4 linked regions of the Daphnia pulex genome follow. The protein of the gene in region 3 purifies or fractionates together with the protein of the main gene of each other region. This does not show direct contact. Links are inferred from orthologs where the notes say so. Each region holds a gene or a part of one and is shown on either strand. Other genes may lie near its edges. The genes, in order: 2-oxoisovalerate dehydrogenase subunit beta, mitochondrial-like; 2-oxoisovalerate dehydrogenase subunit alpha, mitochondrial-like; protein phosphatase 1K, mitochondrial-like; lipoamide acyltransferase component of branched-chain alpha-keto acid dehydrogenase complex, mitochondrial-like.

Evidence for each region.
Region 1: the proteins of protein phosphatase 1K, mitochondrial-like (region 3) and 2-oxoisovalerate dehydrogenase subunit beta, mitochondrial-like purify together in Homo sapiens (affinity purification with mass spectrometry; 3 studies listed by BioGRID and IntAct, counting the BioPlex papers as one, with this or other methods). This does not show direct contact. The link is inferred for Daphnia pulex from reciprocal best matches to the Homo sapiens genes PPM1K and BCKDHB.
Region 2: the proteins of protein phosphatase 1K, mitochondrial-like (region 3) and 2-oxoisovalerate dehydrogenase subunit alpha, mitochondrial-like purify together in Homo sapiens (affinity purification with mass spectrometry; 4 studies listed by BioGRID and IntAct, counting the BioPlex papers as one, with this or other methods). This does not show direct contact. The link is inferred for Daphnia pulex from reciprocal best matches to the Homo sapiens genes PPM1K and BCKDHA.
Region 4: the proteins of protein phosphatase 1K, mitochondrial-like (region 3) and lipoamide acyltransferase component of branched-chain alpha-keto acid dehydrogenase complex, mitochondrial-like purify together in Homo sapiens (affinity purification with mass spectrometry; 4 studies listed by BioGRID and IntAct, counting the BioPlex papers as one, with this or other methods). This does not show direct contact. The link is inferred for Daphnia pulex from reciprocal best matches to the Homo sapiens genes PPM1K and DBT.

Annotation. Positions count from the first base shown.
Region 1 is NC_060027.1:5,062,372-5,070,369, reverse strand, and holds 2-oxoisovalerate dehydrogenase subunit beta, mitochondrial-like, read left to right. Parts: upstream 1-3,281; 5' UTR 3,282-3,334; coding exon 3,335-3,452; intron 3,453-3,524; coding exon 3,525-3,602; intron 3,603-3,671; coding exon 3,672-3,874; intron 3,875-3,954; coding exon 3,955-4,110; intron 4,111-4,199; coding exon 4,200-4,371; intron 4,372-4,522; coding exon 4,523-4,668; intron 4,669-5,159; coding exon 5,160-5,246; intron 5,247-5,347; coding exon 5,348-5,488; 3' UTR 5,489-5,831; downstream 5,832-7,998. Other genes in the region: feline leukemia virus subgroup C receptor-related protein 2-like, read right to left, coding at 275-545, 652-762, 857-960, 1,053-1,258, 1,353-1,491, 1,722-1,946, 2,057-2,159, 2,239-2,519. UniProt on the Homo sapiens protein: Together with BCKDHA forms the heterotetrameric E1 subunit of the mitochondrial branched-chain alpha-ketoacid dehydrogenase (BCKD) complex.
Region 2 is NC_060021.1:6,460,573-6,468,024, forward strand, and holds 2-oxoisovalerate dehydrogenase subunit alpha, mitochondrial-like, read right to left. Parts: upstream 4,818-7,452; 5' UTR 4,661-4,817; coding exon 4,577-4,660; intron 4,511-4,576; coding exon 4,346-4,510; intron 4,286-4,345; coding exon 4,090-4,285; intron 4,029-4,089; coding exon 3,867-4,028; intron 3,799-3,866; coding exon 3,654-3,798; intron 3,585-3,653; exon of another isoform or gene 3,584-3,584; coding exon 3,380-3,583; exon of another isoform or gene 3,313-3,379; coding exon 3,174-3,312; exon of another isoform or gene 3,089-3,173; coding exon 2,961-3,088; exon of another isoform or gene 2,890-2,960; coding exon 2,811-2,889; 3' UTR 2,716-2,810; downstream 1-2,715. Other genes in the region: WASH complex subunit 2-like, read left to right, coding at 1-1,792, 1,855-2,236, 2,311-2,435. UniProt on the Homo sapiens protein: Together with BCKDHB forms the heterotetrameric E1 subunit of the mitochondrial branched-chain alpha-ketoacid dehydrogenase (BCKD) complex.
Region 3 is NC_060025.1:9,522,685-9,530,143, forward strand, and holds protein phosphatase 1K, mitochondrial-like, read right to left. Parts: upstream 4,720-7,459; 5' UTR 4,555-4,719; coding exon 4,038-4,554; intron 3,974-4,037; coding exon 3,897-3,973; intron 3,803-3,896; coding exon 3,719-3,802; intron 3,652-3,718; coding exon 3,584-3,651; intron 3,519-3,583; coding exon 3,437-3,518; intron 3,373-3,436; coding exon 3,177-3,372; intron 3,091-3,176; coding exon 3,017-3,090; 3' UTR 2,850-3,016; downstream 1-2,849. Other genes in the region: chondroitin sulfate N-acetylgalactosaminyltransferase 1-like, read right to left, coding at 1-66; uncharacterized protein LOC124203045, read right to left, coding at 5,095-5,108, 5,172-5,415, 5,485-5,737, 5,797-6,121, 6,510-6,666. UniProt on the Homo sapiens protein: Serine/threonine-protein phosphatase component of macronutrients metabolism.
Region 4 is NC_060026.1:4,118,101-4,125,787, forward strand, and holds lipoamide acyltransferase component of branched-chain alpha-keto acid dehydrogenase complex, mitochondrial-like, read right to left. Parts: upstream 4,589-7,687; 5' UTR 4,509-4,588; coding exon 4,449-4,508; intron 4,373-4,448; coding exon 4,185-4,372; intron 4,120-4,184; coding exon 3,935-4,119; intron 3,873-3,934; coding exon 3,733-3,872; intron 3,669-3,732; coding exon 3,387-3,668; intron 3,321-3,386; coding exon 3,112-3,320; intron 3,043-3,111; coding exon 2,850-3,042; intron 2,768-2,849; coding exon 2,696-2,767; intron 2,633-2,695; coding exon 2,465-2,632; 3' UTR 2,221-2,464; downstream 1-2,220. Other genes in the region: pumilio homolog 3-like, read right to left, coding at 4,746-5,570, 5,642-5,823, 5,890-6,100, 6,170-6,400, 6,466-7,113. UniProt on the Homo sapiens protein: The branched-chain alpha-keto dehydrogenase complex catalyzes the overall conversion of alpha-keto acids to acyl-CoA and CO(2).

The sequences.
Region 1 (7,998 bases), on a different chromosome or scaffold from region 3:
TTTGAGCTCGCTTCTACTGTTTGCTGCACTGCTATTACATACGCCCAAAAAATTCCCGTACGTTATGCAATGAAAAAGCAGCATAACTGGAAAGACCATAATCATTTTACAATTCGACTCCATCATTGAATAGTTGAGTAATCATTCCCTTTTTTATTTGGAATAAAAAAAAAATGGTCCATGTACACATGCAACAATAAAACAGCGAAAGTCCCCGCAGTCGCAAACTGATGGCACAATCGTCCAACGAGCCAAAATGATGATGGTTCAACGGCTATTTGAAACCATTGACGGCCCTCTGACGTCTGAGTTCCGGACGGATGAACATTGTCACAATGGCTCCAATGAACAAAGCCAACGTTAACGTCCCGTTGCAGACGAGGTCGCCGTAATCGTCCAGCAACCACCCACCTAAAAGAGTGAACACGATGCCGAAAATCTGAGCGGACGCATTGAGCAGCCCGGATGAGGTTCCTTCCGGTTCGGGGTAGGTGAGTTCGGCGGCAAATTCAAATCCCACCGGAAGGTATCCCGTCATGAAAAAGCTGACCAATTCAGACCGCACAAATATCGACAAATAAAAAAAAACAGGTCACATGAATATAATAAATCAAATCAAAAGAAATACAAGTGTAATTCGATATAACATACCCTACGGCTCCGGCCGTGACGAACGTGACGGCGATGATCTCCACATTGAAAGTGAAAGTGTAGGCAACCATTCCCACGACGGCCATTCCGTAGACGGCTAGCGTCGTTTCTCTATAGACACGAAAACGAGAGTTGTTATAATTGGCGATCAATCGTCACGTCCATTATGGAAACGAATTTTTAAAAAAGTCACATCATGTCTCACTTGAATTTATGAGTGCGGTCGAGAATAACTCCACCCAGGACGGAGCCGGCCATTCCGCAGACGACGATCGTCAATCCAATCTGCCCGGCACTTTCTTCCTGCCCCTATATCACGTCCGGGAATAATTGGGACGTCATTATGATTTGTTGGCTCGTTACGCTAATTGCAATTGCTCAAGTTGTCGACGACTTATTACTGGGAAATGCTGGAGAATGGTTTGATTCAAGAGGGTTGACATGGCGTAAAAGACCCCTACGTTGATGCCGTAAGTGACCAAGAGAAGGACGTAGTCTCGGTTCCACATAATCCGTTTAATCGATTGCGAATAATTCAACGAGTCCGTCGACGAGTCGATAGAGCAACGGGCCAGGCTCGGAGGCAGCGGCGGTTTGGATTGAAAAACTGCAATTCAAATCAAATGGAAATTGACATTCATAATATGTAAATAGCAGCTTTATAAAACTTTGTCAATTTGAATTGTTTCGAATTGATATACCTACGATGACGAGAATGGAAACAGCCGTACATAATCCGGCCACAATGTAGAACATGAGACTCAGTCCGCTGCCGATTTCTTCAATAGTTCCGTCCCTCACCAATATGGGCGGCAGGAGAAAACCCAGAGCCACACCTAACTGTATATTGATGGGCATACAGACAAAGTATCTAATAAATTTACGAGTCTTACTTTTACGACCAGGATATGTTTCTTGCATATAGCTGTATCATAACTTCCATTTAAATATTCCGTTAGAGAGAGAGCCCATCAGCATACTGATGTGATCATTCGAATCGGACCGAGTTCAACTCGATCCGATTATTCCAAATTTATTCTTCATCAGATTACTAGCTGAAATGTTTTTACCTGGTTGCCAAAGACTCCTATGGAGCAGGCCGATGAAACTTGATCGGGACCGAACCATGTCGCCGCTATGTTTGGCGGGACGCTCAAGACAAAGACCTGCGAAACGGCTGCGATCGTTTGACCGATGAGGGCGACGTAAAAGCGATCGGGAGCGACGGATAATACTTTAACCCACGCGCCAGCCGCCGTCCCCAAACTTCCAATCAACAGCGTCACTCGTAAACCCTATTGAGAGATAAATTTAGACCCGGGAGTTATTTATTTATTATTTTCAATGGCCTGCTGTTATCAGCATTTGCACTCTGAAATTCCTGTTTTCCCATGTCTAGACTGACCATTTTATCCATGACCCAGGCACCTGGAAATATCAATGGAACATAAACCACCATGTAAACCAATGACGTCCAGTTGACAGTTTGACTATCGACGCCGTAATATCTAGATACATCAAACAAAAAAAGATATGAACTCGGTACGTAGCTACTTTTAATACGTATGATAATGATATAGGTTGTACTTGATCAGCAAACTGGTTATGATAGAAAACTGGATCCATTGGAAGGCGTTGAGCATTGAGACCGTGACGAAAATCAAGAGCATCAGCCATCTCCGTGGGTACACTTTGGTGGACAGCATTTGCCGATGATCCTGCGATCCGGTGTTTTTCGACTCGGCTTCTTCCGGCACCGAAATGTGGAAAACGACTATCTCGTTCCCATTTTTCTGCGCATGCTTATTGTGATGTGTCAGTAGATCGTGATCGCTGACTGGGCTGGCCGGCGTCATTTTCGACTCCATATGTCTGATGACAAAAAATGTCAATGTTCGCACTATCGTTTTCAGGGACTGGTGCACTTTGAATAGGAATGAGAACGGCGAATTTTATCGATCGTCTATAGCTTGGTTATAGGCCCGGTTCAAGTGACGGGTCAGGCGACAAATAAAGGCGCCATTCTGGTAATAAACTTAAAAAAATAAAAAAAATACAAATTGATGCTGATCAAATGGTTGTTCTCCGTTATTTACACTTGCGGTCCACACTACTGACTTGACTATGTACGAGTGAGCTTAGACTTACAGTCGTACGCGATTATCCTGACGGATGATTGTTGATGTTGGGCTCTCGTGGGATGCCATATTGATATCCTATCACATTGGGAGCGTCCAGTCAACGAATGCCCTTCAAGGTTGAATTGCCAATCGATTTCGTCACAGCAAACATGGATTCTCATTACATTTTGATGGCCGAGTTCAATTGTGTTGGGTCTATTTGTATACTAGCCCACGAAAAGTTGTAAGGTTTCTTTGTTGGGAGAAAATTGCGGTTAAATGTTGAACTAAATTCTGGATAAAAAGAAAAAAAAATTGTAAATGATCGCTCGCCAACTTGATACGCCATCCGGGTCACATGGGGGCGATAACTTTTTATTTCGTGACCCGCGGAACAGGAAGAAGTGCTGCTCTAATCGATTAGAGTAGACAACAAGGAACGGCATTGCGTTTGGTTCAAGAGATGACCGTTCGCAACGATAGATGGCAGCTCTAGTGATGAAAAAACGAATAATCGGAAGTTGGAATCAGACGATATCGACGTAAAATTGCTAAGTGTAAACATGGCTCTCCGTACTTTCATTAAACGGAATCTCATTCTCAACAATAAATGCCCGTTAAGAATATCTCAGCGGTTGTCTCATTTCACTTTCGTTCCAGATACTGTTTCTGCTTCCGAAGGTTCGCCAATCGGTTAATTTTGATGTATATTGAATGCATGGCATCGTTAAAATGAATTTGATTCGCACGCAGGTGAAACTCAGCGGATGAATTTGTTTCAGGCCATCAATAATTCACTTGATATAGCTCTAACCCAAGATCCAACTGCTGGTAAGTAAACATGACAATTAATTCAAATGGTTTGATTTGCACTTTTTAAGAATTTTGATTTGCTTGCAGTTATCTTTGGTGAGGATGTTGCATTTGGTGGAGTGTTTCGCTGCACAGTTGGCCTCCAGGAGAAGCACGGCAAGTCCAGAGTTTTCAACACCCCACTGTGTGAGCAAGGAATTGCTGGATTTGGTATCGGAGCTGCCACTGCTGGAGCCACTGCCATTGCAGAGATTCAGTTTGCAGATTACATCCTTCCAGCATTTGATCAGGTATCATTCAAGAGCCTGAAGCTATATTCATTATCTCGAAACATTAAACAGGTCTTGTTCGAAATCATTATTTTTGCCAGATATGCAATGAAGCTGCCAAATACCGGTACAGGAGTGGGGGCATTTATGATTGTGGATCTCTGACCATCCGTGCTCCCTGCTCTGCAGTAGGGCATGGAGCGGTGTACCACTCCCAAAGCCCTGAAGCTTTCTTTGCTCATTGCCCCGGACTCAAGGTGAAACCTGAATTTCTTGTCATGGATGATAGGTGACACTGTTTTTTTTTTGTTGTTTTTAATGCGGTTCTGTACGTTGTCTTTAAAAGGTTGTGGTTCCCCGAGGGCCCATCAAGGCCAAGGGCTTGCTCCTGTCGTGCATTCGTGACAAAAACCCGTGCTTGTTCTTCGAACCCAAGATCCTGTACCGTAGCGCCGTCGAACAGGTTCCAGTCAAAGAGTACACTATGCCGTTGTCGAAAGCCGACATCCTAGTCGAAGGTTTGTGTCCATAATCAAATCATCATGTGTTGTGTTGGTCTTATCTTTTTTGAGACGTATAAACATATTTTTGATGTCGGGATTTTATTCGCCCGACGATAAAAAGAGAAACGTCGCCAACATATGGGTTTTATTAATCTGATTTCATTAGGAGATGACATCACGCTGGTCGGCTGGGGCACCCAGGTTCATGTTCTGCGCGAAGTCTGCCAACTAGCCAAGGATCAGCTCAACGTTTCGTGCGAACTGATCGATCTGGTTACCATTCTCCCGTGGGACAAGGAGACCATCGCCCAGGTTGGTAACCCGAACATTATGCCCTTTCTCTCCGTTGCTGTGGGAAAAAATAAAAATTGTTTTTAAAAAAAAGGGAGATACCATAAAAAATGAGAAATTTTGAAGCAATCCGAAACGAGAGTCACATGGTTTAAGTGAAACTTCTCTCTTGACATTTGCGCTGAATGGCTGGAATTGTATTTCTGTTTTCGTTTATCACCCAGCCCTTTTGTTGTTGTTGTTGTTGTTGCGGTGGTTGTAACAGTAGAGCTGCCGATTTCTAATTGTGGGCACAACGACCAGGTTTGGACAAAAATATTCGAATTGTGGGAGGGTCGGTGAGGCGAGACGCGGAAGTGAAACCTGTTGACTTATTATCCAATGTGATTGTCGTTTCTTTTTGCCTCTCTTTCGCCATTTTGTTTATATTGATCTTGGTTGTTTTTACTCTATTCGCCATTTTATTATGATTATTATTTTTCGTTAATCGCTTTCTAACTATGTTTCTCTAGTCGGTGAAGAAAACGGGGCGATTGTTGATAGCCCATGAAGCGCCATTGACGTCTGGATTTGGAGCTGAAATAGCGGCCAGCATTCAGGTAACTTTTAAAAAATAAAAAGGCTGTGATGATAAGGTGAACGATCTCAATCAATGCTTCTCTTTGATTAATTCAACACTTTCTTTCTACCCCGAAAACAGCACGAGTGTTTCCTGAATTTAGAGGCGCCCATTGAGCGTGTCACGGGATTCGACACACCTTTCCCGCACATGTTTGAGCCGTTCTACATGCCCGACAAATGGCGTTGCTTCGAAGCTGTCAAGAAACTAGTAAACTATTAAGAGAGCAATTAAAAAAAAAGTCATGTTTAAAACGAAAAAAAAAAAAATAAAGAATTAAAATTTAATTAAAATCGCTTTCGCCAGAGAGATATGATTGTACATTACATAACTAATCTAAAAAAAAAAAAAAAAAAGGAAATTTTGTTTATGCTCATTTGTTCCCTTCACTGAGGTCGAATGTGTACGTGTCCAGGCGTGCATATGTATGTCTCAAGGGTGCGATTACCGTTGCACACTATTTACCAGCAGTCGGCCTTAGCGCAGCTCTCCTTATCTCGGTAGGCAACATGTATGTACCAGCAATGATATAGTATATATATAATATACAGTATACATACAAATATATTCTATATGTCGACTACACAAAACGCTGATTACGTTGTTTGGGGATCGATCTGGATTAGGGAGAGATCCGTGAGGCGTCCACTAAGCAAATTGACGCAAGAGATTCGGTTTACACGAGTTGACTGCAAACAATTCAAATTTTTTTTATCGGTTTTCTAGATGTTTCCAATGTTTACGATCGGCTCGGTTGAGCCCCCATCCGAATGATTAGAAAACTCACGATCATTGCTCACACACAATGAGCCACCATTGTTCTCTACTGTCCTTCCGTATAGAATTGGCGCAGAACAACAAATTCCCGAATCTTGTCCCGAATAAATAATTCGCTTTTTAACAGATAAATTTAAGACAATAGGGGCAATTTTAACTGTAATTTTTGGCTTTTTTTTTTACAAGGAAGTCAACACAGTTTCCAAAGGATATTGTTATAGTACTATGACTATTTTGAAAGGGGGAAAAATAGATCCGAGAAAGAGAGAGAGTCACTTTCGCTCTTTTCTCTATCGTGCAATCGCCGACTTCGGTTTTTATATACACAACTGTCATCGTTCACTTCCCTCTTTGTTCGTGAAGGAAAAAAAGGGGGGATAGATATATATTTCTCTTTTTTTTTGGCTGAAAATCAAAGGCTTATTATTGTACAATAATATTCGAAATGCCGGAACTGTCGTCATTTCATTTTATTTTTTGACTTGGTTTCATTCATTTTCATATAATCTGTCAGAATAGTTCAACTCTCTCTCTTGTCCACACGCCATGGCGTATAGCACAGAGCCGGCTAGAGCTGCTAGCTATTAGACTCCCACTATGTAACGTACACCCTGTATAATAATATCAGCAGCTTGAAGGAAAGAAAGAAAGACACAACTTTGCGTGCAGTCGACTTTGAAGGACGTTGGTTTTTTTTTTTGCATATTATTACTTGTATTGTAGAATGCGTACAAGTATACCGAGATTGCTGCATTTCCACATTGGCGACCTTCAGCTTTAGGGGGAATATAGCTTATACAATCGCCGTCGACATTTTCAGTTGGCAAAAATGTAGTAACGACTTTTCCAGATTGGCCGGAAATTCACATAATAATCGATTTTCTATTTACTATTTCGGTTGCAGGTTTATAGTATTCCTGACTGGAAAAAAAAATTCTGCGGTTGAATATTTTTCGATTGGAAAAAAAAATTCAGCCAATTGCTTAATAATCGACTCGATGAATTGAATTGGACTGTGAATCGCGGAATCAAATAATTTGTTATCACTTCGGTTGACGAAACAGGTTCGAGAGCGCGTGACGTGTCTCGCCGTTTATATCTGCTCTCTCAACAATGGATGTAAAAATTCAACGGGTTCTACATGCATACATTGCGAATGTTTTTATTTATTCCCAAAAAATGTGTTTTCTTTTAAACATCAAATAAGATTTCAAATTTCCCGCCGTCTGTTTTATATAGATCACTCGAGACCCGTTCTGCACGTGCGAATACGTCAATGCGGGCTGATTATTCCAAGAACATTTAACTCAAACGTTCTAGACGCGAACATCAGTTTAACCGTGTAGCTACACAGTGTTCCCTCTCTACTTTGCATTAAATCTAAAGCGCATCCGATTAAATAGCTTTGAATAAAAGAGCTAAAACGTTTTCATCCCCCGTCGACAAGTGTTTAGTCGTTTGGAAAGACGTCACAGCGCACACAGCAGCAGCAGAGACTCTAAAGGGCCGTGCATATGTTGTTGGGCTCTCGGTATTGATTCGCCGGCCAGCCGCTGCCATCACTGCCACACTCGGTACGTGCAACGTGACGTCAAATAACTGCGTCGCAGAAAATAATACATCTCAAACGTGCACAGCACTCACTTGCTCTGCATGTACAGTAGGATTACATGCATATTATTATTACCCAGTTGGTGAGTGCGATTGCCATTTAAGGCTATCAGCAAATAGCTCGCGCAAACGAGTTCTATTGTCAATTAATTCAAAGACAAATAAAATAACGACCGAAAATGTAATTGTGAACTTGAATTGTTTTTTTTTTTACAAAGTCCCGGAGCACAGAGAATAGAACCCACATATCTACTCTACATGTTTTTCAATTGCATATATACTAATAGCCACTAGGGTGAATGCCCTATGTAATAGAGATATTATCAGAGAGTTGGCTGCCATTT
Region 2 (7,452 bases), on a different chromosome or scaffold from region 3:
ACCAGTGGCTAAACCAATCGTAAAGATAGCAGCAAATTTTTCAGATGACGAGGATAACATATTTTCATCCCAGATTGCCAAGCCGAAGAATTCCCAATTACCACCCACCATCAAAGTGGCAGTGCCTCCAATTAAATCGGGGTCATCTTTATTCGACGACGAAGACGTGCCGGATTTTGTTGCCAAGAAATCTATCTTGCCAGTGAAGGTTGCAGCACCAGTACCCAAAACACAAGACCAACAGCCAGTTCTTCAAACCAAACAACCCCAAAGATCCGAACAGCCACAACAAAGGAATCTTTTTGCCGACAGCGAAGATAGCGATGACGATCTCTTTCGTAATATAGTTGTCACTAAGAATAAGGCTCCGACATTGGTCGTACCTCCCAAGACTTTATCGACCTCTCCACTACCAGATAAATTAGTTACACAGTCAAGTCGGCATCAGTCCACTCCGATTCAAAACGGCGAAAGAAAGGAAGAACAAGAAGAACAAAAGCGGCCAGCTTCAGCTAAAGATAATGACAGCAAGCCAATTCACATTGAGCAACATCCAAAACTAAAGGCTAAACCATCGCTTTTATTCGACGATGACTCGGATGATGAAGATTTATTTGCTGGTGTTTCAGTTTCAGCAAAACCCCCACCTCTTGCAACAAAAGTCCCTGTCTTGCAAGATGTTCAAAAAGATTCCAAAGGTAAAGATTTATTTACTAACGTCCCACCATCCAAAGTCTCCGTGGATGTTGCCGAGGCAATTGTCGGTAGCCCTGATGATTTGTTTAGAGGAGTTCTGCCAACAAAACCGACATCTTTGTCCGGAAATCCTTTTATTGCTCGGAAACCAGAAAGCTCAGCAGACGGATCGGCGTGTGGTGGTGTCGCTCAGGTGACGGAGAAACCGACGTCGCCAATGAAGGTAGCAGCTGATCCCGCTACAATTAAAATGCCTAGCGATAAACATGTCTCTGCATCAACATCATTACCTGCTTCTTCGAAACTACCCATGTCTTTACCTGGCAATGGCCCTGACAATCTCTTTGGTAGCCAACCACCCGCTCTCCAATCATCAATCCGTCAACAGATTCCCGTCTTGAAGGCATTTGAAGAATCGGACGATGAAGACCTGTTTGGAATTAAAGCTGAAAAACACCCACCACCACAACCTGTGCCTGTGAAAATCTCAGCCAAAACAGAGGAAATTGAACATGCGATCAAAGGCGAAGATCTCTTTGTTGGTATCGTGGAACAAAAACAACCCCTACCTCAACCTCCCGTAACGTCTCAAAAAGCCCCTGAGAAAAGTGAGACCTCAAGCAACAAGCGTGATAGTAGACAATCTCCGGAGACGGAAGTGAAACCTCAAGCCTCAGCCGAAACCGTAGATAAGATAGCAGGTCGGATAGCCTCGCTAAAGTTGTCTCTCGCCAAACAACCGAATTCGTTACCGTTTTCGAATGCAGCAGGATCGACGGCCACTACGCCGAATGATGAAGACATCACCCCAATTTCGAATTCTGTTGTTCGCAAGCCGTTCGGTGGTGTCCCGCTGTTTGGTCCTCGCATTCCCAGTCCCGTGATAAGCAATCCGCCTAGCCCGACGAAAGCGGAACAGAAAATCATGTCAGGCGAGTCGCAAGATAAAGATAACGAGGAAGTTGCACAAAACAGTGATCTGCTCGATTGTGTTAGTAAACAACGGCCGAAAGCCCCAAGGAGCCGAAAGCCACCAACTCGTAATTTCCGACGTTCCCAAATCCAGGACGACGACGACAATTCGATGGTGACTAAGGTAACGCTTACACCTGTGCTGTAATAATTATGTGTGTGACTTAATTACTATTTGTCTTACAGGCCGAAGAGACTATTCAACTTCCCAAGGAAACCACACCAGTCGTTGTCAGTCCGGTTGTTACTCCACCGTTACCGTCGCCAATGAAACTGGATAAAAAGGAGGCTAGCCTTGTGGTTGAAAGCGAAACAAAACCTGCAAATCGATCGCTTTTTGACGATTCTGATAGCTCCGACGGAGAGCTTTTCAAAACTAACGCATCTGGCACGGTGTCCAAAGCTGAGGCGCCTTTGCGGAAAGGAGGTTTAAAATCTAACGCCAAAATCAATTCCACCTTGATGGGATCCGGTACGGATGACAGTGTTTTAAGCAGTCAGTCTAGCATTCCGACACCGAAAAAGGTCACTACGCCTTCGTTCCTGCTTGCCGATTCTGATGATGACGGTAAGCTCTTTAAAATACAAACCTTTTCTCAAAGCACCAGCACGTTCTAAAGCACCTGTCAAATTGTTTATTAGATGATCTGTTCGCCAGCACACCGAAGCTGCATAATCGCCCGAAGCCAGATCCTACTTTAGTTGTAAGCGGTAATAAAGCTGCTGCTACAGCAGCATCTGATCCCCTTCTACATTTCCAACAATGAGTAACGATACCCTCCCTTCGAGCGAGTCTAGTCTCGAAACTAAGTCGGCCTAGGTGCCTTTATTTTCATCATCATGTTGCCCAATATCGTATTAAGAAAGAAACTTTTTAAACTCTTAACATATTCTGTGATTATTCTTTCCTCGTAATTGGCATCCATGGGCATAATTTCTAAATAGAAAGCATTCCATTCGAGGCCTTATTATACTGATCGTGGCCTATAAAACCCAACAAATTTTTCTTCTACAAAGTTATAATTTACTGTATCCCTTTCCAGCATATGTGTATCATTATTGGTAATATTTTCTCGTCTGCTTCATAACATCAATCATCTTTGAACAACGACACAAGTTTACATCTAGAATATCTTAAATCATTAATCTTTCGTGAAGTTCTTTAGTGGATAATGTTCTGCATATTTCTGTACATGCTCTTCCATCTGTTTCATTTGTTCCCTATAAGAAGAGAGATAACACAAAATATATTAATACTTTTGAGTCAGCCAGAAGAAAAAATAAAAGTTTACCTTATGTGGGATGGCATTTCATGGTAAACGTCAGTAAAGATTTCTTTCCAGTTGGGTTTTAGTTTCTTTTCTGCACGGGCGAAGGCCGTCATAACCTGGCGCTTGCAATCCTCCTTCCACTCTTTCTCCTGAAAAGACGTCACCAATGAGATTAAGAAACTTTTATATCTCCATTCCTCGCCATGGTGAGGGCATAGCAAAAACGGTAAGTACCTGAGCATCTCCCCACCATCCTTTTGATAACATATAATTCCTCAGACGGGAAATGGGATGGTCACGCTCATCCCAGTAACGAACTTCATCAACGCTACGGTAGGCAGTGCTGTCGTCTGATGTGCTGTGATGGCCGATTCTGAAAACGATTCAACCAATTAGGTAATTATCATGCACTTTAGGAAATAATCTACCCTTTCACTAACCGATAAGTCATGGCTTCAATTAGGACAGGCCGCATCTCGCTGATAGCCACTTGCCGTGCCTTCAGCGTGGCATTATAAACAGCAAAAACGTCGTTACCATCAACCCTAATGGTCAACATGCCGTAAGCGGGGCCACGGCCGGCAATTCCATCACCACGGTACTGCTCTTTGGAAGGAGTTGAGATGGCGTAACCATTGTTACGACTGATTGGCGCAAAGATGTAAAGGTTAGTGTTATTTCATCATATCGCGTCAAAGTAGAAACACCACTTACCAAAAGAAAATGACTGGGCAATCTAATGTTGCGGAAAAGTTTAGGGCGGCATGAGCATCTCCTTCGCTAGATGTTCCCTCACCAAAGTAACACATGACACACAAACCATTCTGGGATCTCTTGTATGCATAGGCAGCACCCACAGCTTTATTGCAAATAAATAGGGCTTAATGGTTAGGAAACAATTTCTAGAGTTATTTCATCGACAATTACCTTGAGGCATTTGAGTACCCAACGGCGAAGAAATCGTAACGAAATTGAGTTCTTTTGAGCCATAATGTACTGGCATTTGCTTTCCTTTGCCACCATCATCGACATTACCATAGCACTGGTTCATGAACTGATCAAGTGTGAATCCTCTCCACATCAATGTTCCTGATGAAAGAAAACAATTTTAGAATGGTTGAAAAAAGCCTTTGAAGGGTAAACTACTTACCAGCTTCTCTGTACTGTCCAAAAATAAGATCCTTTGGATCTAAGGCAGCTGCACTCCCAATGTGTGTGCCTTCTTCCCCGTAGTTTGTCATGTAGAAAGAAATTCTCCCCTGACGTTGAGATTCATACAAGATTCTATCCATGGTGTTGAGTTGGGTCATGCATTTATACATTTTGATGACCATTTCTTGAGACAACTATTGGGTATGTTAGTCATTAGAGAATTTGTTGCTTTTAATAGGATTATAAAATATTACTTGGGGATCCTGACTAGGGTCTATAACTTTTCCTTTCCTATCCATAACTCTGTAGACTGGGATCCCATCGTAGAGGTCAGGGCGAATGAATTCTAGCTTTTCAGTCCACTGGGAGCGCGAACCGGGAAACTGTGGTCTTTCATCGGAAGAAAATTCTCTTGCAACCTACATTAATGAAATCAATTATTGATTTTCCCTTCAAACAAAAATGTATAACTATATTATACGCACTTGAGAAAGAGAGCCAATGTTGATTCGCTTGCAGTTGGCAGCTACCGAGCGAATACCAAAACGAGCTAGCCGTATGGGTAACATAATGCAGGCTTTTTAATTGATGCGATAAAGTAGAATTTAAAACGCTTCCTCGCCAACAGAGATTTTTCCTCGGTAAAATTTAGTTCAAACGATAACACAGCAGCAGAAGAAATTTCGTCGGAAGAGAAAAATGGTCGGTAGTCGTAGAAAATGACGCCATCTGTAGGTGGACGAATTTAGCTTGTAGTTGTAGCCAAAGTTTTCGATCACGATATTTGCACGATGCTCACGATTTATGGAAAGCGAGACGAATATGTAAAAAAATGAACAAAGAAAGGCGAACCATGCTTTTAAAAGCTTTCGTGCTGATGGAATTTGAAAGCTAGCTCGAAGATCAATGACGTAGGGTCGAAGAATTATTTCAAAAGGATATTGTTCAGACTCCAAACATAAAAATTGATGATTTTTTTTTCAAAGCTGGAATAACTTTCCTGCGCTATCACTTTCTTTCGTGCATACATATTTTCGAGGCTGGCGAAATCAGTGCAAGTTATGTATCACGACTTAATGAGGATGCCGCGCAGCTCTACTATATACATAAGTCTCACTTTCTCTTTTACTTTTTTACGATTCGGTTTCGTGCCGCGAGTTAATCGCCCATAACGGCATTAACAAGAGGATACATCTAGTCCGTGTTTTTTTCTTTTTCTCCTTAAACTTTATTACATGCATTGTACATATTTGTTCTCCGTTGCCCAGGGTTTTTCTCTCCACTCGGCTCTCGTTAAAGTCGGGCGCGTCACACACACACACACCCATATGTGTAGGAAACCGCCTCCAGTTTCGCGGTTAACCGACGAGTGAGAACCACGAGAGAAGACGACGAAATTTACTGCGCGCTAGCGCCATGATTTTTTATTTTTTATTTTTTTCTTATTTTTTATTTGGTTTTATTTTGTTCTCTGAGACCCCCCTTTTCTGGGATCTCGCTACCAGATAGCCTTGTTGTATTGTAGCTCCGTTATTCGAGTGGTTTTCTGTTTGGCTTTTTATTTTATTTTTTTCCCGAGGAAAACAAAACAAAAAAATTGGGTGTCGCAGCGCGTCGACACATGTGAACGATTAAGACATTCACTCGGCGTGAAAGAAAAAAAAGGAGAGAATGGCATTGATGTTACGACACACGACGCCGTTCGTGTCGTTCAAACTCCAATAAGCTCAGAGTATGAATTATTAGAAAGGAGAAGGACAGCGTTACGCAATTCCGAATGAATGGCCTAAAGCCCTGTAATATATATGCCGTCTTTTTTGAACAAAAATCCGCTCCACTTTTGAGAAATGTTCACAATGTGTGAGCCGCGTGCATTTCCTTTTAATGACTGAGAACGTTTGAATTACACCGAGAATGTCAAATTCAGCGCTCGAGTTCAACTAGCTCAAAGGTCGACAAGAATAAAGAAATGCACGAGTCTCCTGTCAGATAAGAAAAATAGTACAAATGCGCTCAATATTTGCGGTCGACTATTTTACGAGAAAGTCCCTGTGAAATGTCAGTTATGATCGATTGAATTCAATTTCACGAATTCGTTGGAAAGAATATCAGCCAAATGACTTCAAACGTTATACACCGCGCCGGATAACCTTCAAGATACAAGCAAACGATATAATTTTTTCGGTGTATAACAAACGAGCGACGACCCTGCGAACTTAAAACCCCTCGTAACTTTTCGCCCCGTTGAGAAACAAATAAAGATGCGATTCATAGCCGAGTAACTTATATATACTACGTATAGTGGATTGAAATAATTGCTGAAACCTTTTTTCTTCTGAGAATCATTTCCCGGCAAACTCAAAAGGTTAATGGGTCTTTTGAAATTTGAAAAAAAAAAAAGAAAAATCATTTGAATGCAGAGTTATATACATTCCGCTGCCGAGACTAGAAGTTTATCACACTTAATGACCATGTCGACTCTGAAACGGAATAAGGTAGTCGAGCAAAAGGACTAAATTACGGGATGTAAAACACATCTTGTTTGCGCCATAAAATAAAATAAAAAAGCCCGACTGCAGGTAAACATCGTAACAGATTAATGGCGAGTAGTAGTATAGTGGGTTATTATTATTGCAGCGGCCGATAATAATAAAAAAATTGAAACGCCATGTTCTTCGCCAAGTTTTTATCCTCATCTCCTTATCGTTATATTAGTTGAATCCATCGTCATCGCCAGACAACTACTCCGGCGATGAGGTAAAATGTGTTTTCGCTGTGTGTATATAGTTGTTGTTGTTCTTGTAATAAAGTCGAAGCGATTAGATAACTGTATCAGAGTACTGCGGAGGACAGCGAAATGAGATTGCAGTTGAGCAGCAGCATGGCACTCGGAGATTATTATTTTATGATGACACGGGTGAAGTAGATTCCGTTGCATTTTGTGCACATTTACGAGTCGTTAATTTTTCTCTTATTCAGAAAAACGCTGGTAAATAAAACCGGTGACTCGAAAGAATGTTCTCTGAAAAACGGATGGCGCCCAAACTTATGAATGCAGATTACAGATGTTGTTTGGTATTAAAAAAAAAACGACCGCTGTCTGCTGTGCCGAATGCCATTTGCGCCAACGCCAAAGAAAGAAAATTCCACCAAGAAAAAGGGGGGTCGTGTCGTTGCGCGTTTATTTTTAAATGTATACAGTACGTACTACACCAGTACGCGCCCACAAACATATTGGACGCTAATTGCCGCATGCTGTACCGGTGGCACCCGTACAGTTTTTCAACCAATAACTGTGTAGTAGCCAGTCACCGTGTCGTAATAAAGTAGAAACAGAAAAAATGGCCGACTCTCTTCTTCT
Region 3 (7,459 bases):
CAGCACGACCAACGGTAAGGCCAGTAGGAATAAACGCAGCAAAACACGTCGAACGCTACGATTCATGGCGTTCTCATCTTTGAACGGAGCGTCCTCAGGCTCACGGAATTATTTCTCCTGATGTTTAAAAAGAATTCTCCTGTAAAAGATAACAACATGTCGTTATTTTATAGTAGCTGGTCGATCGACATCGCGGCTGAATAACATTTAAAAGCAAGACTATCTGATGGAAAAAGCCGATAAGACGCACAGATCGTTTCCTCCGACGACATTTCACGGTTGGGATTTAAAATAAAACGGATGGGAAACGGAACATTGATAACAAATCAAGGGGCTAGTAGTAGTAGAATAGAGTTTGACTATGTCTGTAAATATTGTCTCGATATAAACTCTGTCTACTACCAAAGTTGTGCGGAGAGTAGAGTAGAGCTGATTGAATTATCAGGCGGTTGCAGCCCAGTCTCCCGGGGCACATGTGCTGGCTGGCTGCTGGATAGAGTCAAAAACACCCATATAGACGACCAATCAGACGCACGAGTTTTTCCTAATAAGCAACAGCAGAGAAGGGCAGCTGGGACGAAACTTGGTCCAAGATAAACAGACACGCAGTCAAGTCGCTAGTAGCTCTTCTTTATAGTGCACAACCGCAATTTATATCCAAAGGGCTTTAGTCAACAGACGGTTAAATGAGACAACTCTCTTGTTAAAAAAAGGAATAAAAACACGCTATACCAGGAGTAGGATTTCTACGATAAGAAGCGTGTAGATACAACTGTGCGTAGTCCAACGGGACCCGAAAATGTAATCCTTCATTTTCTACGACTTCCCCGACACGAAACTTTGTCTCGTTTTCAAAAGTGAATTAGTTATAAAAGAAAAAAAGTTCTACTATACTTGCCTTAAGGTTTATCCCAAAGCTCCGAGTCAAACTGGGGAAATACAAACGCGGGCCGGAACAATATTACTGCCCAGGTTGTCTGTCGATTGCTGGAGGGGATCCAACCGTAGTGCGTGTGTGTCGCAAGTGTCTTACACAAGACGAATGTCTAGTAGTAGCTCCTTGTTTCTGTCTTGGTTGAACGACAGGACCGACACTACCCAAAAACAACCCAAAAACAACGACGTATACCCCCTAAAAAGTCGTCGCTCCTCCTTCCCAGCCAAGTCCGTCCTCCTTTTCCGCTTTTGGGTCCAGTCCTCCCTCTCCTTGCGTTCACGGCGGTATAATACTCACGCGTGCTAGTCTTTCTTCTTATTTTTCACACAGCGCACAATGGATATGAAATCAAAGACCACCCCCAGCAATCGGATACGTGTAAGTTGAAGCTCATTCCGACGTATGGACACATTGGTCCCCGTGTTTAGACGTTGAGGATATTCTTTTTCCAAAGCTTTCGGGCCAAGGGGGGGAATCCGGTTCCTGCTTGATGGGATTTTCTGACTAGCAATAGAAATATTTTAATTGTAGGCGACCTTTTGATGACTGGGCATGGAAGCCTATACAAATCACATGCGGCCAAAAACACTAAAATGTTTCGGGTTTTTATTATTTGGCGCCGTGTAATTTCAAACCGAATTATTTCCAATCGGCTCAGTTTCGAGTCGAGCCGTTACGACTTGGACATTTAAAGCTAAAAGAAAGGAATAGTCGGCCGTTTCGGGACTCGACAGGAACTCAATGCCAACAGATCAAGGATTGTCGCCCCTACACCAACCCAAAACAAATGGGATTTACCCTATAAACGACGGCAGCGCTCGTAAAAAGTGAGACAAATCGACCCCCCAAGGTAGACTCCGCTGTTAAACGCGTTCACGGACAGTTGGATTGATTTTCAAATGTAAATTTCTGGTGTGTCGATTATTTCAAGACAATCTACAAATCAAACGGAGCCATAGAAACGGCGAGGGGAGCAGCTGGGTCGTCAGTGATCGATGGTTAATGGGTGATGCGGTTAGGCGACATGGGCGACGATTCGTTGGTTATACACATTCACAAAATGTCTAGTCCTGATGCAATCAATCAACCAATCATATACAACCCGAGGCGTGGCAACCGAAAGACCCCCCCAAAACTTTTCCATCAAAGATATTTCCTTATTTTTCATTGTGTCTCTGCATATGCTGGCCGGTCGCTATCTACATTAGAGTTTAAGTACAGCGCGGTACTCGAGCACCAACGGGAGGTGGAGCATATAAGTTGCCCGGCACACACGCACACCCACCCACCACCCGGTTGAAAGGAAATGCGCGGCCCTCTTCCGACTTTACCATTTGCTTATCCTTTGACGCTTTGTTCTGACAAACGACCCAGTCATTAGCACAATCATCTATCACGATTAGAGCAAGAGTCGTGTGACACACAGAGTTAAGACCGACGACTTCTAAGGTATAATACGGTTGAAAGCAAAGTAGATCCGCCACTGGACGCCAAATAAAACACACGCCATTCTATTAAGAGCCCATTTGGCTCCTGGGCTCCTAATGCTTATCCAAAGTGGAACAAGGGCAATAATTTACAAGTGCGTCGGCGTACATAAGGCTGTGTGTGGAGGGGGGGAGATGTATACAATACACTTTGTTATCATTCCAGGGCCTGTGTGTTCCTCCCTGGCTATTTTTAAAACAGTTACCAGTACTATATGCTCACCGATTGCACCCGCTGCTGTCGTACGTTCCCCTGGCCAGCCACACTTGAACATGTTGTTTCCATCATAAATGGTTTGGGGCAGCGGGGGGGATAAAAACAAATCAATCGCTAAATTAAATAAAATGATGAGCAAATTTTTTAAAATTATTTAGTCGAGGAAGTGAGAAAATGGGAAATGGTTAAAATACGTACATTAGTTTCATTCAGGCATGAAACATTCATGTATTCACATTTCACGACGATGGGGTTTACTGTTTCAAGTCAACAGGGTTCACAAGGGTCGTAAAGGCGTGCTGCTTCCAACGGTATTGATTGGAGGCTTATTTTCGTAATAAAAACACGAGTTTTATATTGGGCGGATTGAGTGAATTAACTGAAGCGGCTGCTGACCGTCATGCTGCGGCCAAAACTGTAGAAAATGGAAGCTGATGTCGTGTTATTGCCTAAAAGTCATTTTTGAAACGAAAAGAAACAGACGAACGAGATTAAGCAATTGGAATATTAGAGAAACAAATTTGATTCGAATTACCCCAGGAGCCCAAGGGCACAACGATTGCGGTCGCATTGTCTTCAGATGAGTAATGTAAGGCTGCATCAGTTAGGCAGTGGGCGGCATCATTTGGATCTTCAGTTCGCTGGATGACGTCACAAATTTCCTGATCCGACATCACGCAATTGATTCCGTCGGTAGTCAGCACTAAAAATGCATCTCTCCCGTGCTTTATCTTGAATAACATAAGAGGGATAAATATTATAGAGCGAAAAAGAATGTTAAATCAATAAGAATACCTTAATCTTTCTCACATCAGGGACGGCAGTCACGCCAAATGGTTTCAGCTCTAGATCTCCCAGGCTTCTCGTCATCGCTAATCTAATAAAAACGCGAATAGAAAGCTATTTTACTTGGTTCAATTCGGAAAACTTGAGTTAACTAACCTTCCGTTAACCATTCCTCGGCCAACATCATCAACCACAACCTTTCCTTGAGATTGTTCAATTCGAGTCTAAATTAAAAGAATAACGTGTAATTTTAGTTCAACATGTTAAAAATTTGAGTTCAATTTTTTACACCTTTTCTGTAAGAAGGGATGGACAATGATCGGTTGTGAGACGGCGGGCCTTTCCTCCTCGACATAGCATAGCTCGGCTATCTCCCTGTAATAACAATTTAAATTAGAATAAGGGAAGATGCAAGTTTAATTTTGCTAAACGTAATGAAGAATAAATGATGTATGCCTATACTTCTTACAACATGGCCAAGATAAAGATCCATGTTCTTGTGAAGGAGTGCTACTGTAGCCGTTGTCCCTGGAACATTACTGGTGGCTACGAATACAAAATACAGAGTTCAATAGCAGCTTAACAAATACTTGGTGAATACAAACTTTACCTTTGCCGTGAAAAGCCCACCAACGAGAAAATGAGTTATTCAACTCGATGAATGCAGCATCAATTGCATGTTCAATATCATTGACACTTAATCTGTCCAACCAAAAGGTTAAATGATTCTCCATGTGACTGTAGCAGTAGTCTGCACACTCTGATCCGCCATGCCCGTCAAAGACAGAAAAGTAGAGCAGATTCGGTCTGAGCTCTTTTGCAACAAAGCGGTCCTCGTTGTAAGGCCTCCTGCCTTGAATGGAGTGTGTTCCAACTGACGAGATGAGAATTTGAGGTATGGGTTTCCCATAGTTGATGCTAGACTCGAGTTCAAGAGGCAACTCTGTCCGGCTGTCCCACGTTCCTAAAATATCGACGTTGACCGTCTTGGAAGAACCATATTTGTGCTTGGTGGTGGTGGTGGCAGAACGAGTGCTGAATCCCTTGGAGGACTGCAAGAACAACAGACGCAATTTGTTGCAATTTGCAAGGCTTTTTGATAAAAGAAAAGTTGATCTAAAATTCATATCTCTTTGAGCGTCAAATGATGAATGGAAATACACAGAATTCTAGCAGTAGAGATTTACACGAGAATTCCTCTTTTACGTTTTAATATCCCGTTTTCGCTGGTATCCTAATTTACACTCACTTGATCTTATCTCTGGTCTGTAAATGGAAAGCAAAAATGTGAACAAACAAAATAAAGAAACGCCATCTAGAGACGGAAATGTTGACTACACGTTTGGGCGGTTTGAAAGTTTGAAATGAGATTCTTCCAGTCGCTCGACCAACAGCAATGCCAGCAAGCAACTGAAGCACCTTTCGTTGTGTATTTTTCTTACGAGAATACAAAAAAAAAGTGGTGCGTTACATGAGAAATAGTTATGAAACATACACGCAGTACAATACTGAATGAGATCAGTTAAGTAAACTTGGAGAAGATAAAACTGAAGAAAAACGGGATCTCTGGATTGGTTCTCCGACATTATGAACATGAATTTTGAAAATTATTTTTTGAAGGGTTTTGCCTGGTACTTCCACGTTGCGAAACTCAAGGCGAATCTGGGCTATTTATTGGCACCTATTTTAAAATAAATGTTTTAAACAATTCAGACGTTAAATAACGAAGTGTAGTTCAACTTACGGTATCCAGCAGCAGACAGGAATCCATCCACTACGGAATTGCGACTATCCGGAATGCCAGAAGATTCTGGCGAATGAAGTTCTTTGAGTTTCTCCATCATTTTGTCTCCAGAAAAGATGGTAAAGTTGGGAACGACATCGTAAAAGGAATCATTCGAAGCAGCATCCATTTCAAGTCCATGAGACATGTAAATCACGTCAGCAGGTTTAATTCCGCCCCTCTCCAAATTTCTCAGATTAGCAGCCTATATAAACGATTATTAACATTTAGGATTAAGATCACGAATTAAAAATTGTTTATAAATGATGCCTACATAATTCGACATGCTGCCATTTAGATCCAGAGGGCAATTAACCATGTAGCCTACTTTCGCGTTGCCGATGAAATGATACATGAAAAGAAGATCGACATGGCTCGCTGGGAAATCGATAAAGTCATCGGCTGAACTGTCGTCTGATGTCATGTCACTTTCAAGACTGGAGATCGGTTCATCAGCGGCGCATTCCTGAATAAGATGGATTTCGTATTGCAGACCGCTCAAATCGTAGAGAAATTTTCTGATGGCCCTGTTATAACAATTACATTTATTATTGGTTTATTAAAATTATGTAATGTGAGAACTTACGGGACATTTTCCAAAAAAGAATTCCGCAATTTATCAAAATAACCGCTTGGAATGTTTCTGCCATTAGGGGATCTAGTTATCAGTACAACTAGAAACAAGTTGGCGAACGAGAAAATGGGGTGGAGGCGAGGCATTTTCCAGTTACCACGAACAACCCTTGGATTCAACAACTTACGGAGGCCAAAGTCATAATCATCGTCATCATCATCGTCATCATCATCGTCATCATCCACTTTTTGTTCTCCATCAACTGGGTAGAGAGAGCGCGTTAGACTTTCTGGGAGTCTTGAGATTGGGGCAGTAGATGATCCTGTGATTTCAGTCACTTAATGTTTTAAATAGACAAATAGAAACAAAAACATTATTAGGTTTACCATACATAATATCTGTTGCTATACCAATAAAAATTTCATAAATAGCTCTAACTTAGCAGATGTTTTTCAGCCTTAAATTTTGCTAAGAAGCAGGTTATAAACATTTTGAACGCCGGGAAAGAAGTTATTTGAACTAAAATAAAGAAAATAAAATGCCCTCAGCTAAACGAGTAAAAATGGTGGTGTGGTGGGAGGCATTTTATCATCGGAAAACCCATTTCGATGGAAAGTTCTAAAACGTGTGTCGATAACTCCCAATAATGCCAGGCATTCCAAATGTGCAACATGCTCCATGTAAATGATTGCATACAAACTACTAAAATCGAAAAAATAACTTACAGGCACGGTAGACGGCTAAGGTCATTTCGTGGAGGGTCTTACAGCCGGCCTCCTCTAATGCGGCATTCATGAAATCGGTTCCGGTCCAATGACTTGGGCAAGGCTCTTTTTTCTCTTTCATTTTCTTTAACAAGAATTCTTTAGTAATTTTACTCATGTTGGACACCCAGAATTGCCAACTTGACTTGTATGAAGCAGGACTGAAATAATTTCGCGACTGCTCTATCTCGTGACGAAAAACACTTTGACCGAAATGTCCCCGGATACAGTGATACACCAATACCATGCTCTCACAACTCTGCCTGAGGCAAACACGTGGTTCATTTTCTTGACCATTGGCGCCGAAATCATGCTGGCGGGAAATCTTAACAACATCATAACTCTGGTGGGCTTGACATAATTTATTCATTTTAAGCGAATTACAAGAAGCAATAATTTCTAAATAATAAAACATACATGTGAGGATCAAGTGCCATTTATATCAGAAGCAATTTTAATAAATTTGATCGATTTTTCCCCCTCCTTCCCGCCACAAAACTTTCTGACTCCTCCCTCAAAAGGATTACTTTCAATAAATTCTGCCTTTTCTCTCTTTTAATCTTAGTATGTAAAGCAGTTTTTTATTGTAAGGTCACTTGGCGATTTTATATAAAAAGTAAAAAGATAGCAAGGTATTTTTTCATAGAGGCGGGGACCCGGAAAGTGTAGCTGTTTTTTGGCGGGATTATCTAGACTGTTCAGCGTGTTGCTATGCACAGGTTCACGATGTACAAACTTGCAGATTGACTCAATCGAATAAATAAAATAATACAGTTAGATTTTCTTCCAGCCCTTAAATTTGTCCCGAAAAAAAAAAACATGCTATTTAACTCAAATGTATTATATTTAGATTTATAATAGATAGGCCATTGCTAAAGTAAAACAAATGAATAATCGATTATCACTTGTTT
Region 4 (7,687 bases), on a different chromosome or scaffold from region 3:
CCTGAAGGTCAGCTTCCAGTCGCCCGCCCGCCCTCGTCATGCAAGCTTGCTGGCCTAACGGCGGGCGGCAGCATGACGCCATTGACGCCCTGATTCGAGAATTGACGTATGCTGATCCTTTTGCCACGGATTATTTATCTACTATTACTGCTGTTAAGGAACATCGTGATTTTTCACATTTTATTCACGCGGGTTATTATATTGCGTTTGCTTATACAGAAGTGAAATTTACTACTATCAAGTTCATATTTTCTCTAGTCAGTTATTTGTAATCTCGAAAACTCGGATTCATTATAAAAACATGTTTGCGTGTGTATAAACTATAAAGCCATATCGTCCAAACAGATTTTCTCACAACAGCGAGCACAACAGGCCTGCATTAGGTCATTCAGGGTTTATTTCGAAGGTTATAGGTGCCCTGCAGATCCCAAAATCAAAGGATAATGTAGATGATGACGCAGGCTGTTTAATAAGGCGAGCTGAACATAATATACTTCAAGAAACCGGAAACTCGATTAGTTATCTTAAATATTTACTTTCTTTTTTGTTTTTCAATGTAGATTTATTTTCACGCCTGACGTCCTCAATATTTTCAAGATTATCCCAAGCCTCGTTTCCTTTCAGGCATCGTAACAGCCAGGTCAGTGTCGTCCGACCGGCACAATTTTCTCCGGGCTGTTTCAAGCGACGCCAGAACCAGTCCCGCACTCCCGCTCGTCCAAAGTTATGTAACAATAACAAATAAACATATCGGTTGATTGTGGCTCGCAATCACACGGCTGTTGAGGCAACCGAAAAGGATATAAAGCAGTTAAAAGGCAGCACCATATCTCCGCGCCAGCACGAAATCATATACTGTAAACAAGCCGCAGCTTTCTTGTCACGGTCGGTTTAAGCAAGTGGAATTAATGGTCTGCGCCCGTTTCGACATGTAATACGCAAACCAAAACAACCAGCACGTCTGGATGAAACCAGAAAAAAAAAAACGAAATTCCAGCAGCCGGGAGTAAACGGATCCTTAAACTAAATATGTGTCTACACACACACACACACACACACAGCACACACACAAATAGAATTATTTTTGTTATCGACACGTATTATTTTTTTTCAGTAGCTACTTTATTTGGATAAGACATGCTTAGCTGTCGTGAGAAAAATTTTGGTATAGTATAAAAAGTAGTCTGTGATGTTGTGAACTCGATTAACGGAGAGCGGTATCATTTCAGATGATTTGATTTCCCCTGTCTCGACTATAGACACCCAACACAGGCAGCACGGGGTGTGGGTCAGTGCGGTCAGGCGGTATACTTTACACGCAACAGAATGAACTATTCAAGGAGATCTACATTTCAACCTACATAGGTTGGGTTGTTGTCACAGTTGGAAAATATTACATTTCATCTTTCCTTTCCAGTGTAAATTTAAATTTCACAATTTTGGGTTTTTGTAAGGCCCTCAACGGTCCGGTGCAACCGTTCGGTTGCCGGGACCGGTCACCCCCTGAAAAAATCCTAAAAATTTCGGACCGGGCCACAGCAACGCTATTTGACATCAGATCTTCTAAAAAAGATGAAAACATGTTTAGAGAAAAGGCTAAAAAACATTTCCCAGCCCGCCTAGACCTGATTTCGTTTATTTGGCGGGGTTGTGGCTTCATTCGATGTAATCCATTATCCCGCTAGGGGGCTCGTTGGCTTAGACGGTTATTGTGTAGTTACTGTTTTTTGTGTTTGGTTAGGTTATTTAACGATTTTAGGGAGTATTTGAATATTTCATTCGGATTGAGAAAGTCATTACAAATGTTTCTGTTTTGCGCACAACAAGCTTCTCTATTTGCTCAATTTTAAACCGACGCAACCGCGCACACCGAACCGAATCGTAAGTAATTGGGTGATTTACTATTTCTGAGGGAAATTCCCAAAACATTACGAAAACTTACGAACAGGTAATTCATGACAGATGACAGATACGTTGGTTTTCTTAACCTAGCGGGCAGACAAGTGGGCCACTGACCAAGTCCGTCTCCACTATCTCCTGTTAAAGTTGCATCACATAAAGTAAATAATATTAAAAATTAAACATGGCATTACTAGTACAAGAAAATGTTGTTCACACTGGATAAATAGTACATAAAACTACAAATTCACAAACACAGTCATATTGTTTGTTTAATTTAAAATATTAAACTTAAGTAAAAGAAAAACATTTAAAAGAAAATTTCACGTGTAGGACTAATCTGTTATCTTAGTGAAATAACAGATAGGCAGTATATTATATCAAGTTTCTTTTTTTTTCATACACTGATGATCATACTGACCATATGACTGAGTCCCATGCTGTTGAGATTTCACTTCGCGACCATTATACACTAATATAGATCCTCTTTTATTAAATTTAGAAACGTACCCTTCCGCCAGGAGGACACGGATTGTAGAGTACTTCATTATTAGTATTTGAATATTCATTTCAAGTCTAAGATCATAATGCTGGGATTTTCTAGATAAGCCTTCCACAAATTGGAAAATCGCGCCATTGAGGCGCCATCAATCACTCGATGGTCAGCAGACCAACTAACTTGCATGATGGATGCTCTCACCACCTCACCTTTGTTGTTGAAACGAGGAAGTACCTAAACAATTCAATACTACTGAATCATCTGAATAATTAAAGGTTGCCGAAATTTAAAAACTACCTGGACACGTCCTATTGCTCCAATAGCAACCTCCGGCGGCATAATGACGGGTTTGGCATAAGTTCCTCCTATCTGAAATTAAAAGGGAAAACGTTTTAAACGAGGAATTTATAAAAAGTAATCAATAAAATATATTAAGAGATTTATATCCAACCGATCCAATGTTGGATAAGGTGAAAGTTCCACCGGTTAAATCTGCAGTGCCCAAAACTCCTTTATTGCCTAGCTCCTGCAGCCTGGCTAGTTCGATAGCAACATCCATCACAGACAATGATTGGACATTTTTTACATTCGGCACAATTAAACCGAGACTCGTATCCATGGCAAATCCAATATTATGAGAGGCTCTAAATAAAAGAAGTTCAATAATTATTTACGTGAGAAAGAAACTTTTTTTTTTTTTTTTGGTTACATACTTGTAAGTAATATTTTCGCAAGCTTCGTCAACCGAAGCATTAAGAACTGGGAACTGTTGCAGAGCCATGGATGCAGCTTTAATGAAGAATGGCATGAAAGACAACTTAATGCCTCGCTCTTTAACCATTGGATTCTCTTTCAGAGAATGTCTCAGCGTAGCCATTGATGTCATGTCAATTTCATCACAATAACCAAAATGAGGAATTCGCTTTAAAAAATAAATATCTTGAAAATTATGAACCGAAAATATGAACGTGAAATCTCTTGATCATACCAGTGCATTAGTCATGGACTTTGCCATAGCCTTCTTAAATCCTTTAATCGACTCAGTGCGGTCCACTCCAACCGGACAGGCTGGTCTCACTTGCTGTGGGCTTTTTGTTGAAGGCGACGGCTGTTGGGAGGTAGCTGCAACAGGTTTAGGTTGTTCCTGGGGCGCCTGTTGTTTAGCTTTCGGGGCGCTCTTAGAGCTACGAAGAGTTTCAATGTGCCGAAGCATATCTTCCTTCAAGATACGTCCGTCTCTCCCACTTCCTTGTACATCTCGTAGATTTATCTATAATATTAAAACCAAGTTTTACTGACAGAATTTCTATTAAAGTTCAGTCGCTAAAACATACCTTATGATCACTGGCCATTTTTCTAACAGATGGTGTTGTCAATACCTTTTCTGCTGGAAGTTCTAGAGTATCCAAACTCTCGTCTTCTCTTTCACCGAGGGGTATGGCATCTTTTTCTTGCAACTCTTCAACAGGCTCTTCTAAAAAAAAAAACTATAAGCAACACAAAATCAAGTGAAACAAGAATCACTGTTTTTTGTACCTGTGACTGAACCACTGACTTCTATATCTACCAATGGTGTACCCACTTTGGCCATATCGTCTGTAGCATAATGCAACTTGCTAATGATTCCATCATAGCGACTGGTAATGGTAACTGATGCTTTGTCACTCTGAACTTCACAGATGGGGTCAAACTGAGCCACTTTATCACCTTCCTTGACATACCTTTAGAATTGATTTCAATCTCATATAAATACAGTGAACAATAAATGTTAAACAAAGACTATTACCATTCTTTAACCGTAACTTCCGTGATTCCCTCTCCAATATCTGAAAGTTTGAAGGGTACTTTCTCTCCATAAAAAGGTTTCGAAGAATGAAAAAATCTAGTAGTTATTGGATGAAATTGTTCGACGTGACCGCAGGGTCCGAAACGAGAAATAAGCAATGGAACGGCATTGTATTGCAATCGTGATTTCTAGGTGTTATTTAAAACGGGATAAATTTTTAAATTATTCTATCGAATCTAGTTGACAAATTAAAAATCTAATTACCAGGTAGAACAACTTATGTTGTCGAAAACTACAAACAATTCGTCGTGAAGCAGAAGCCATGTTTACTCGCAGAGGAAAAATTCTACACTTATCACGTCCGACGGAGAGAAGATGGCGCTGAGCACACACTTATATTTATTGAAATTATTTATAAAATAATAATTTAAAATAAATAAATTTGCAAATATGGCAACACAAAATTCTTATTTGTTTTAAATTAAAAAAAAAATACAAAATGTTCCAGAAATTATTTTTTATTCCAATGATTTTTTTTCGATTACAGTTCAACAGTGAAGTCTAGATTGGTTCCAACTTCGCCAATTTGGAATCAAGGATGTCAGAGCCTTTGTTGGTTTGTTTTTGTAGAAATTTCCTCAAATTTTTAAGTTTTTCTAAAACTGCTTGTATGACACTGTCAATTTCGGTTTCAACCATTCCAACGAGCAAGAAAGAACCGCGATTGCAGCTTAGCCAACCTTTAATCTCATCAGAGTCTACTTCATCGATGATTGCCTGGCTAAAATAGGGAGGTTGCGTTCGTAGCTTGTCAAACTGAATTAGCTTTTTAACCGTCATATGAACAGCCGACTGTTCAACCCAATATTGAACTTTTTCGCCACTAGAGCTAAACGCGTTTCTCAGATCTTGGTCGAGTGGGTTACCAATAACTGAAGCCACTGCTTTAAAAGCAGCTTGCAATTCTTCCCCGACGCAAAATTTGAGAATGGAGCCAAGAACAAGACAGTTTTTGCTATCTTTCAACCACATTTCAGGTTCGTGTGAGACAGCTTCCAACCAGGAAGGGGAGGCATACTGGAGAAGTTCCTTGTGACGAGTTTCCATATCTTTCTTGCTGTTGGGATTACCGTCTCCTTGCTTCAATATGTCAATAATCTGTGGATGGGTGAACTTGGGATCGCGGCCAGCAAGCAAGTACATGACAACCTTTCGGCCGTGCTCGTGAACAGCAATCTCTCTCCAGTTGGTAGCAATTTCTGTGACAATAGCTTTGGCAACGAGTTTGGTGTCATCCACGGAATCGAAAAGCGCCATCAGCACCATGTGGCCGTGCTCCTCTAAGCAGATCTTGGTTACGTGACCTTTGAAACTTTTGATGATATCCTATATAATTTTCAATAGACAGGCGGGTGAGATATAATTTCGAACACAAAATAAATAAAATTTAAATTTACCTTTCGATCTTTTTGGGTACCATACCAGAGGCACGTCATTCCAACTCGAGCTCCATCGCGAGTGTGCAAAACTTGAACGACTGCCTGACGAAGACTTTGGATCATTTCAGAGCGTTCATTCTCTTTGCAGTGAGTAAGGTACTCATTAGTCAAACGATGCAATAAACTGTGATTGAAGACACCTTTTCCAATTAAAAAATCGATTAGACGGTTGAATACAATCGAATATTGGTATCAAATCAACAAACCTTTGGCAATGATTGGTTCGATGGCCTGGTTCATATGCTTTAGGAATACTTCTCTCTTCTCGGGATGTTTAGCCAGAGCGGCACTCAACGTAGTAATGGACTCATCTTTAAAAAGTTTAAATTCAGGTCCATAAAATTCCTGGCTCAGCAGAGCGCGTTGACTTGCGTTAGCCCAATCGTTGTATGCCGTTTCAACCACTTTGGAGGCGAACTGATAAATAATAAAGAATTAATTAGCCAAATATTGAAATAAAGAAGATGGTGTTAAATAGATGCATACCTTGTGTTTCATAAGAAAAACAACTTTTCCGCTTAACGCAGTGATGACATAATTTCGCTGTTCCTTGTTACCATGGCGGAGAACTTTCATCAAGTAGAAATGTGCGTACTGTGATTTAGCCAAATTAACAGTATGGCTTTTAAGTTCATTGAATAAGGCATCTCTGATATCCTGAGATGATTTCTCAAACAAGCATTCAATAACTCTGGCTGTATCATGGGCAAAGACCAACTAAAAGGAAAATTTAATTATACAATTTGTAATGAATTACAGCTTTTCATCAACTTTTCACTTACCTCTGCTGCATGAGTTTTGATCAATCCATAGAGATCAGCACTAATGGAAAGTTGACGTTCTTTGGTAGTGTCTTCCCTTCTGAGTTCCTCCCAGAGCTTTTTGGCTTTAACAGACAGCAGATAGCGATTTTCATTCTCCTTGGTCTTTCGTTCAACTTTGAGTGCTTCTTTTTCCTTCTTCTTGAATACACTTGTCTGTTCTCCAACAGTCTTTTTGGCTTTCTTACCATTGACTTCTTCTCCTTCATGTTTTCTTTTAGGTGCTACCTTTGGTGCTGAGAAGCCAGGGATGACTACATCACTTGAAGACTCTGTTTCTTCAGTTTTCTTTGATTTCTTTGAGGGCTTGATAACTTCGAAATCTTCATTATCCACTTCCATTTTCTTGGACTTTTTCTCCTTTTTAACAACGACTTTCTCTTCTTCTTCTTCAATGTTTTCTTCAGCATCAGCAGTTTTCTTTTTCTTTTTGAACATGTTTCCAACTTTACCGTAATCTTCTTCGACTACTTTATCATGTTTGACTTTTTTCTTGGCTTCTAACTGGTCGATGAGTTTGCTTTCTGAATGAGTGAAACCTGGGGCATCTGCTACGACAACTTGCTTCTTGGTTTTCTTGACAGCCGCTTTGTTAATTTTGAGCGTCATTCTTGTACTTAAAAGTTCACAACTGTTTTAAACTTGATTAAATAACCTACGGTCAATCTCGAGAAAGAAAACAACGCGTTCGTACAGAAAACTATGGTAAACTTTAAGCAAAAAGTCAGCACGGCGCACGCAATATATTCCTGTCAAACACGTGGTTTGAGAATGCTTTCTGCTAAATTGTTGCCAGATTGCTCTGCAGCTGAGCAAGTTTACGAAGGAAAATTTAAAAAATTTCTATTCAAAACAAACTTAACCATAAATACTTTTGTAATTAATTTTTAAAATTTAAATGACATTAATTTTGATTAATCAAAGGAGTCATAAAAACAGAGCTCTGATGCACCATATGACATTTGCGGGAAATTCAAAATCTATCATAATCAAAAGCTTATTTCCCACTTTCACATCATGAATGCACCACTACCGTGCCAAAGAAAATCGATTTGAATACATTTAAGATTTTGATCGAAAAATTTGCTAATAAACAAGCTTTCATTCCCCTTGTATCGACAGTGAACGTGCGACAGAGGGCAGTATGGCAGTATCATTCGCAGATTTGCCACTAGTGCCACTG